Xenopus tropicalis: one gene and its partners. The protein of the gene in region 1 purifies or fractionates together with the protein of each later gene. This does not show direct contact. Links are inferred from orthologs where the notes say so. Each region holds a gene or a part of one and is shown in the gene's direction. Other genes may lie near its edges.

The links.
Region 2: the proteins of rbx1 (region 1) and fbxw2 purify together in Homo sapiens (affinity purification with western blotting; 3 studies listed by BioGRID and IntAct, with this or other methods). This does not show direct contact. The link is inferred for Xenopus tropicalis from reciprocal best matches to the Homo sapiens genes RBX1 and FBXW2.
Region 3: the proteins of rbx1 (region 1) and keap1 purify together in Homo sapiens (affinity purification with western blotting; 6 studies listed by BioGRID). This does not show direct contact. The link is inferred for Xenopus tropicalis from reciprocal best matches to the Homo sapiens genes RBX1 and KEAP1.

Annotation. Positions count from the first base shown.
Region 1 is NC_030680.2:115,969,955-115,973,554, reverse strand, and holds the start of rbx1 (E3 ubiquitin-protein ligase RBX1), read left to right. Parts: upstream 1-854; 5' UTR 855-863; coding exon 864-977; intron 978-3,273; coding exon 3,274-3,352; intron 3,353-3,516; coding exon 3,517-3,587; intron 3,588-3,600. UniProt on the Homo sapiens protein: E3 ubiquitin ligase component of multiple cullin-RING-based E3 ubiquitin-protein ligase (CRLs) complexes which mediate the ubiquitination and subsequent proteasomal degradation of target proteins, including proteins involved in cell cycle progression, signal transduction, transcription and transcription-coupled nucleotide excision repair.
Region 2 is NC_030684.2:8,637,610-8,640,132, reverse strand, and holds the end of fbxw2 (F-box/WD repeat-containing protein 2), read left to right. Parts: intron 1-634; coding exon 635-923; 3' UTR 924-1,999; downstream 2,000-2,523. UniProt on the Homo sapiens protein: Substrate-recognition component of the SCF (SKP1-CUL1-F-box protein)-type E3 ubiquitin ligase complex.
Region 3 is NC_030679.2:138,040,526-138,044,263, reverse strand, and holds part of keap1 (kelch-like ECH-associated protein 1), read left to right. Parts: intron 1-996; coding exon 997-1,682; intron 1,683-3,655; coding exon 3,656-3,738. UniProt on the Homo sapiens protein: Substrate-specific adapter of a BCR (BTB-CUL3-RBX1) E3 ubiquitin ligase complex that regulates the response to oxidative stress by targeting NFE2L2/NRF2 for ubiquitination.

The DNA of each region.
Region 1 (3,600 bases):
GTAGTTTGGAGTAGACAGACAGTTTTAACCTATTCTCCATTCCTCAGAATCTGTTCTTTCCAAAAATGTATAATTTTCTGGTATAAACCTTCTGAAATGTAGGTGTTAAAATCTTAAGTATGCAAGCTTTCTGGAGCAGTGCTTTGGAAATTTGGTAGGTAGTGTACCGCTGGGAATTTTTGAATCACACAAATGAGAAATCGACATAAAACTATATATATATTTGGTGCTGGCACATTCAGGAGACATGGGACTTTCCGAATCAGTTGTATTTTTGTGCATAAAATCATTTGTTTCTTTTATATGTGTTTATATTACGGAAAACGTGTTGTTGTTTTTTTGTTGTTTTTGTTTTTTTTAATCTTTTAGACATTAAGAAGCCTATATCTTGTTCCAGAATTGGAATCACACAAAAATTCTACCATATTTTGAAATCTTAGGTCGCCCCCCCCCCCAAAAAAAAAAGATATATTGTTTTCCTGTGTAAACTAAAAGTCCCCCCAAGGAAAGGCCCTAAGAGTGCAAAATGTTTCAAAACAGTCTGGCAATACAAGTTCTGCTTTGACCAAATCAGCTGGCAGTGAAAGGGTTAACTGTTCAATACAGAAATATTTTGCTTAACCAGAACACCACAGCCCCTTAGTGAATACGAACAGATGAAAAGGCTAGCTTGCTTAAATCTGTACATTTTACTTCCCTCAAGGAGCATGTGCCTACGCCTTTAAATAAATTCTCTCCAAGCCTGCAGACCGCAGCTCTTCCTCGTTACCGTCTTCCGCCCCCACACACATTACTAACACGCCCCAAACTGTGCGCCTTTAATGCTAATCACATGACCAAGGCATCAGCCCAGCTTTCGGCGCATGCGCCATATAGACCCGGAATTTCCTCTTTTCAAAATGGCAGCCGCAATGGATGTAGACACACCAAGCGGAACGAATAACAGCGCTAGTAAGAAGCGCTTTGAGGTTAAGAAGGTAAGTGTGCTTGCTTGCGTATGTTATGGATGTAGCAAATGATCAGAACAGTCTTTCTAACTAATACTTAAAGAGGGCGACAGTGCAGCAGCTGATACTATTCAGCTAGATTGCTTGCGCCCTAAAGCTTTTTAGATGTTTGATTGACGTGTTTTCCGCCGAATCAAATGTTAAACCCTAATACTTAGGGCGGTCCGTTTTGGCAAAGCGGTGATTTCTGTCGTTCCGGCGGCCCAATAGCGGATAGCTACTGATGCCACAAACGATTGGATGAATTCTAACCAATGTAAGTGCCCCTCTCAGCTGCACTGGGAGGCGGGATCATGTAGCCGCACTTCACGAGTTTGCGGGGGAGCTGTAGGGCCACAGACATTGCGTGGTCTCATTTGCTCATTTGTTTCCCTGGAGGAGGCAGGGAATGTGTCTTGGGCTTTTAGCGGTGTGAGAGCAAGAAACGGGGCTATTTGATAAAAAATAAATTGTTGAACAAGTAAATGTAGGGGTCAAATGACTTGCATTTAGCACATGTAGGGGTATATTAATCATGCTGTGTAAAAAGTGGAGTGAAGCATTATCAGTGGTGTTGAGCTGGGTAACCAATCGGCTATTAGATTTCAACAGTTCTGATTGGCTGCTATAAACTTCATCGGTGATGTTTTACTCCACTTTTTGCACAGCATGATATATATACCCCTACGGTACAGGAGCTGTGAATATGCATTCTCACAGCGTGATGATTTTGCCACCATAGTTCTGCAGGGCATGGTGTGTTTAGCTTACAGTATCAAACATGGTGTATGTGCCATTGTTGGTGTATGTTGCCATTACAGCCTCCTCTCCCTCAGACCCTGCATACCCTATACTTAAAGGAAAACTATACTCCGAAACAATGTAGGTCTCTAAATATGTATTGCATATACAAGCTCATATGTAAAACCCTACTTCATCCAAAAAAGCCATTCTCATATAAATATACTTTTTTTTGTAGTATGTGCCACTGGGTAAGCCTAAATGAAGGCTGGGGCCAACTGGGCTTTTTCCCCAGTGTCCCGTAGCCCAGTCCAACCCTGATTAACAGTGGCTTTCTTTCTTCCACTACTGGGCAGTATTTGTTGTATTTATAGCCTTTCCAATTTCAGCCACAGAGTTGTCATGGGTCTCTTAGTGACCTTCTACATTATTCTTCTCCTTGCACATTCACTCTCTTTTCGTGGATGGCCTGTTCCTGGCAGATTTACAGCTATGCCATACCCTTTCAGTTTCTAAATGATAGATGTAACTGTATGTCCAGTTATAGTTAGAGACTTGGAAATTTTCCTATTTCCATCCCCCAACTTGTGCTTTAAATCACCTTTTTATGGAGTTGCTTAGAGGGTCCTTCTCCCTTCATGTTATAGATCAGTTATCCCCAACCAGTGGCTCATGAGCAACATGTTGCTCACCACCCCCTTTAATGTTGCTTCCAGTGGCCTCAAAACAGGTGTTTATTTCTTAATGTCTAATTTGAAGGCAAGTTTTGTAGGCATAAAGACCATCTGTACTGCCAAATAGTCTCCTTTATTCTGCCAGTTTGCATTGGGCTACCAAATAACCAATCACAGCCCTTATTTGTCACTTTTATCATGATTGTGTTGCTCCCCAACTTTTTATATATTTTTTTTTTTTTAATTTGAGTGAATTAGTGAAAAGTATATGTTTATGGTATAGACACTTTATTTGTTAGAAATAAGCTCCTGATGGAGCTGTTGTATACAGTCTGACCTGAGATTACTGTTAAAAAAAAAAAAAAAAAAAAAAGGGGGGGGGGGGTCATCAAGACGACACTCTTATCCAGCTCTGTGTGAGGCTACATGTTGAGGTAACAGGGTCTGCCAAGCATCTAGGCCAGAGGCAGGCCAAGCCGACCGGGCACCTAGGCAACCTGGTCGGCCACCTTACCCCTGCACCCTCCCATGCATAATACCCACGTGCAGTGAAGGAAATGACAAGTTAGTGCAGACTAGGGGGAGGCAGGAGAGGTACCTGTCTGGCACCCATTATTCCGGCCCTGATCTAGGCACATTGATATTGGTGCCTTCATTGAGCCACATTTGGGCCACGTTTAACCATTCCAGTAAGACTCCAAAGCCATTGTCTGGTAAAACTGGCTAAACTAGTAAATCGAACATACCGGTAATTCTATACACATGAACCAACTTAGAGCAGATTGTGCTAAGTGATTAGATGAGTTTTAAAACATATTTAATTTATTGCCAAAATTTACATCACTTTAACTTTTTTTTCTTTTTTGTTGCAGTGGAATGCAGTTGCCCTTTGGGCCTGGGACATTGTAGTGGACAATTGTGCCATCTGCAGGAACCACATCATGGACTTGTGTAAGTTTCCTTAATTGAACTTTAGCCGATAAAACAACTGTTGTCTGTAAGCAACATTTTAGTTAGTCCCAGTGCTTATATATACATTTATCTTTGAAAAAGTGAATAACCCCTTTGAATGGTACAAATGCAGAAAATAAAAATAATCCTCTTGTATCTTCTAGGCATAGAGTGCCAAGCAAACCAAGCTTCTGCTACTTCTGAGGAATGCACTGTGGCATGGGGTGTGTGTAATGTAAGTAGCTTTG
Region 2 (2,523 bases), on another chromosome or scaffold:
GCACTGGTACAGCTGGGGTGTTTGCTACAGAAACCCTACTATAGTTTATATAAATACCCCGCTGTGTAGCCCCGGGGGCAGCCGTTCCTGCATTGCTACAACTGGTGTGTTTGCCTCAGAAAGACTACTATAGTTTATATAAGTAAACTGCTGTGTAGCCCCGGGGGCAGCCGTTCAAAGGAGAAAAGGCACAGGTTACTTAGCAGATAACAGATAAACCCCCATTATATGGGGCTTATGTACTAGTTATCTGCTATGTAACCTGTGCCTTTTCTCCTTTTTTCCATCTTGAATGGCTGCCCCTGGGGCTACACAGCAGCTTATTTATATAGTAGCTTTTCTGTAGCAAAAACACCAGTTTTTTGCAGAGCAACAGCACATTATATTTTAATTACTTTAAAACACTTTAATTTTTTGATGTTACTGTTCCTTTAAGAAGCTCATACCAGGAAGTTGAAATGGGGCTAAATTTCAATTTTATTTGCCCTTTTTAATTCAAAAAATGAACCACTATAGATACTTCTTTATTAAATCAATAGGCAAAAGGTATGTTGGGCATTAAACACAAGTTTAAAATTCATGTTTTTTTTTTTTTCTTCCATTGTTATTTCAAATTACATTTTTTTTGTTATAGAATCATCAAGATGCCAGATTCTACCAACCTCTCCCTACTTGGCTTCGGCGACATCTTTGCTCTGCTGTTTGACAACCATAACTTATACATAATGGATTTACGGACAGAGAAACTGATCAGCCGCTGGCCTCTGCCGGAATACAGAAAGTCCAAGAGGGGTTCCAGCTTTTTGGCGGGGGAAATAGCCTGGTTAAACGGCCTAGACGGGATGAACGACATAGGTTTGGTCTTTGCCACAAGCATGCCGGACCACAGTATCCATTTGGTGCTGTGGAAGGAGAACGGCTGAGAAGGCGAGACGCGGGCGCCGGCTGATTTTAACGGAACGTTCAGACGGATGTTCCAGAGACGAGTTCGGGGAGAATGCCATGCATGAACCAAAGTTTCTCATCTTGTCATGCAGTGCACAATCATCGTTTATCTTCCATTTCTCTGGGTCGAAAAAAGGGGAGTGTTTTATTTGTGAACCAACCAGATTGCATGCCGGCGGGATCTCACCGTAGCGTTCCACCAAACACTGAAACGTATCTGTCTACGCCAGATAGGACTCAAGACGCCGCCATTTTTAACCTCCACCGCTCCTTACGCCCACCCCTGATGCGTTCTGGATAAAAAGGAATTTTTTTTTAAAAAAGGCTGGTAAAATTGACCAGGAAGTTGCAATAATAAAAGAAAAGTCACGCTCTCTCCATGCTACAACCGTGCTATGTATATGTCAGCCTTCAGGATTGTTTATATATGTAATCTATTTTACTACGGAAATAGCTAACGCATTTAACAATGTAAAAATGCACCGCGTAGAGGTAGAGTATTCCGGAGCTTAGAGTATTCCTGTTTGAGCACTTAGGTAGTAACAATACATAAGACTTAATCAAGGAGGATACGTTCTTGTTGCTTTGTATTCTGCTTCTCCGAACCTTTAAATGGAAGATATAACCTACTTGTAAGTAGGGAACGCTGTCCCTTTAATTGGGGGGAAAAATACAAATACAGGGGTTAATTCAAAAATGTTTTCAAAATGTGGGCCAGTTTGGTAGCCCATAGCAACTAACGGGTGCAGTAATGACAGCTTGTTGTTATGGGCTACATGACTGGACCTTTATTTAACCATTTATATGTGCATTGTTCCCTTTTGTTTATTTTATCTACTGATATTTTAACAGGACAATTTCCCCTTTTTTTTTTTTTTTTTTTTCTTTTAATTTTGGTTGTCAAAGACTTTTCATTGGTTCTGTAAAATACCCTAGTGGGACAGCCTATAATAAGCAGTGAGGGTATATCCGACAAGCCCTAGTCTAATGTTACCAAACAGCATGTAAATGTATTTTAATACACAATGAATATACACAACAACAATACAAAGTCTTTTTTTTGTTTTTGTCTTTTTTTGTTAAGAATAACAGTGATTGGTTCAAATCAAACTGCATTCGGGGCTCTGAATAAAGCAGAACTATGACAAATACTATGTATTTCAGACCCTTTTAGGAGATGATGAATTACAATACTGTGTAGACTGTCATGGGAGTAACTGTGATTTTGAGTACAGGTGTGGGACCCATTATCCAGAAAGTCCCGAATTACGGAAAGGCTGTCTCCCATAGACTCTATTATAAGCAAATAATTAACATTTTTGAAAATGATTTCCTTTTTCTCTGTAATGGGATCAAGTACAGGTACTGTTTTATTATTACAGAGAAAAGGGAATCATTTAACCATTAAATAAACCCAATAGGGCTGTTCTGCCCCCAATAAGGGGTAATTATATCTTAGTTGGGATCAAGTACAGGTACTGTTTTATTATTACAGAGAAAAGGGAATCATTTAACCATTGAATAAACCCAATAGGGCTGTTCTGCCCCCAATAAGGGGTAATTATATCTTAGTTGGGA
Region 3 (3,738 bases), on another chromosome or scaffold:
GCGTTCCCTCGCTCTGACCCCTCATCTCTCCCACATTCCCTCGCTCTGACCCCTCTTCTCTCCCACATTCCCTCGCTCTGACCCCTCTTCTCTCCCACATTCCCTCGCTCTGACCCCTCTTCTCACCCATGTTCCCTCGCTTTGACCCCTTTTCTTGCCCACATTCTCCACTCTGACCCCTCTTCTCTCCCATGTTCCCTCGCTCTGACCCCTCTTCTCACCCATGTTCCCTCGCTTTGACCCCTTTTCTTGCCCACATTCTCCACTCTGACCCCTCTTCTCTCCCATGTTCCCTCACTCTGACCCCTCTGCTCTCCCACGTTCCCTCGCTCTGACCCCTCTTCTCTCCCACGTTCCCTCGCTCTGACCCCTCTACTTGCCCACATTCTCCACTCTGACCCCTCTTCTCTCCCACGTTCCCTCACTCTGACCCCTCTGCTCTCCCACGTTCCCTCGCTCTGACCCCTCTACTTGCCCATGTTCCCTCACTCTGACCCCTCTTCTCTCCCACGTTCCCTCGCTCTGACCCCTCTTCTTGCCCACGTTCCCTCGCTCTGACCCCTCTTCTCTCCCACGTTCCCTCGCTCTGACTCCTCTTGTCTCCTGCGTTCCCTCGCTCTGACCCCTCATCTCTCCCACATTCCCTCGCTCTGACCCTCCATCTCTCCCACATTCCCTCGCTCTGACCCTCCATCTCTCCCACATTCCCTCGCTCTGACCCTCCATCTCTCCCACATTCCCTCGCTCTGACCCCTCATCTCTCCCACATTCCCTCGCTCTGACCCTCCATCTCTCCCACATTCCCTCGCTCTGACCCCTCATCTCTCCCACATTCCCTCGCACTGACTCCTCTTGTCTCCTGCGTTCCCTCGCTCTGACCCCTCTTCTTGCCCACGTTCCCTCGCTCTGACCCCTCTTCTTGCCCACGTTCCCTCGCTCTGACCCCTCTTCTCGCCCACGTTCCATCGCTCTAACCCCTCTTCTCTCCTGTTTCAGGTTGCCAAGCAGGAGGAGTTCTTTAACCTGTCCAGTTGCCAGCTGGTGAACCTCGTAAGCCGGGATGAGCTGAATGTGCGATGTGAGTCGGAGGTTTTTCACGCCTGTATAAACTGGGTCAAATACGACTGTGAGAACAGGCGGCCGTACATTCAGGCACTGTTGCGGGCGGTGCGGTGCCACTCCCTGACGCCCAACTTCTTACAGCTGCAACTCCAGCGCTGTGAGATACTCAAAGGGGACTCTCGCTGTCAGGACTACCTGTCTCAGATCTTCCAGGACCTTACTCTCCATAAACCCACTCTGCCTCTCCAGGGGCGCATCCCCAATGTCCCTCAGTTCATTTACGTGGCAGGAGGATATTATCGGCAGTCCCTCAGTTTTCTCGAGGCTTACAACCCGGTCGACGGGGAATGGCTGACCCTGGCTTCCTTGGAGATGCCCAGGAGCGGCCTTGCAGGTTGTGTTTTGGGGGGCCTCTTCTATGCTGTGGGAGGCCGAAATAATGCCCCCGACTGCAATAAAGACTCTGGTGCCCTGGACTGCTACAATCCCATGAACAACCAGTGGTCACCATGTGCTGCCATGAGTGTGCCTAGGAACAGGGTAGGCGCTGGCGTCATCGACGGGCAGATCTATGCAGTGGGAGGATCTCATGGATGTCTCCATCACAACAGTGTGGAAAGGTGAGCCTATTCAGGGTGCCAGGATCACAGTTGGACGGGTGGTCATTGCCAGTGGGTAGAATGGGGTCCTAAAGGGGGCAAGGGTGTTTAAAAGAATTTTACTGCAGGGCCAATGTCCGCAGGGCTTGTAATAAATTAGCCTGCAAACTTTGGCTAGTGGGAGCCTTCCCCGTACTGTATCAGGGCCTGGGACTGATTTGCACCGTGTCAGCTTGTTCTCTCACTCAGGGACCGTGGTTATGCACAGTGTATTTAGGAACAGCCGCTCAGGGCTCTCTGTAACCTTCTCCGCCCACTGGAAAGCCTCAGACTTCCAAACATAGCTGTAGGCTCTCTCCAGGTCCTGGCACTGGGCTTGCAGTGTTTATACGTGCGGGTACAGTGCCAGCTTTCTGCTGAGTAGAACCAAAGATTTATGGCCAGAAAAGGCCATGCAGGGCTGATTGTAGAAAATACATTCTGGTACGTCCTGGGGTTGAGGATTGTGCCAGTTATACAGCTAATGCCAGAATAGCTCTGCCCTGGGGTAAAAATAGACATTGCTGGGCCCAGCTATTATTTATAAAGTAGGACTGTCAAACTCATGGCCCTACTATACCTGCTATCCCACAGCCCCAGTCCCTTCCCAGAGGCTATTATCCCACTGCTAATATAGGCACCATCTCTCCCTACTATACCTGCTATCCCCCAGTCCCTTCCCAGAGGCTATTATCCCACTGCTACTATAGGCACCATCTCTCCCTACTATACCTGCTATCCCACAGTCCCTTCCCAGAGGCTATTATCCCACTGCTACTATAGGCACCATCTCTCCCTACTATACCTGCTATCCCACAGCCCCAGTCCCTTCCCAGGGGCTATTATCCCCCACTGCTACTATAGGCACCATCTCTCCCTACTATACCTGCTATCCCACAGCCCCAGTCCCTTCCCAGGGGCTATTATCCCCCCACTGCTACTATAGGCACCATCTCTCCCTACTATACCTGCTATCCCACAGCCCCAGTCCCTTCCCAGAGGCTATTATCCCCCCACTGCTACTATAGGCACCATCTCTCCCTACTATACCTGCTATCCCACAGCCCCAGTCCCTTCCCAGGGGCTATTATCCCCCCACTGCTACTATAGGCACCATCTCTCCCTACTATACCTGCTATCCCACAGCCCCAGTCCCTTCCCAGAGGCTATTATCCCCCCACTGCTACTATAGGCACCATCTCTCCCTACTATACCTGCTATCCCACAGCCCCAGTCCCTTCCCAGAGGGTATTATCCCCCCCACTGCTACTATAGGCACCATCTCTCCCTACTATACCTGCTATCCCACAGCCCCAGTCCCTTACCAGAGGCTATTATCTCCCCACTGCTACTATAGGCACCATCTCTCCCTACTATACCTGCTATCCCACAGCCCCAGTCCCTTCCCAGAGGCTATTATCCCACTGCTACTATAGGCACCATCTCTCCCTACTATACCTGCTATCCCACAGCCCCAGTCCCTTCCCAGAGGCTATTATCCCCCCACTGCTACTATAGGCACCATCTCTCCCTACTATACCTGCTATCCCACAGCCCCGGTCCCTTCCCAGAGGCTATTATCCCACTGCTACTATAGGCACTATCTCTCCCTACTATACCTGCTATCCCACAGCCCCAGTCCCTTCCCAGAGGCTATTATCCCCCACTGCTACTATAGGCACCATCTCTCCCTACTATACCTGCTATCCCACAGCCCCAGTCCCTTCCCAGAGGCTATTATCCCCCACTGCTACTATAGGCACCATCTCTCCCTACTATACCTGCTATCCCACAGCCCCAGTCCCTTCCCAGAGGCTATTATCCCCCCCACTGCATCTCTCCCTACTATACCCAAGTGACTGATATTTGTACTACATAGTGATCGCTCAGCAATATTGGCACACAGGTGCTTGCAGGCTTTGTTGGAACCTTACACACCTTTCCTTTGCTCCCAGATATGACCCAGAGAGAGATGAGTGGCACATGGTATCGCCAATGAAGACTCGACGAATCGGAGTGGGAGTGGCCGTACTGAACA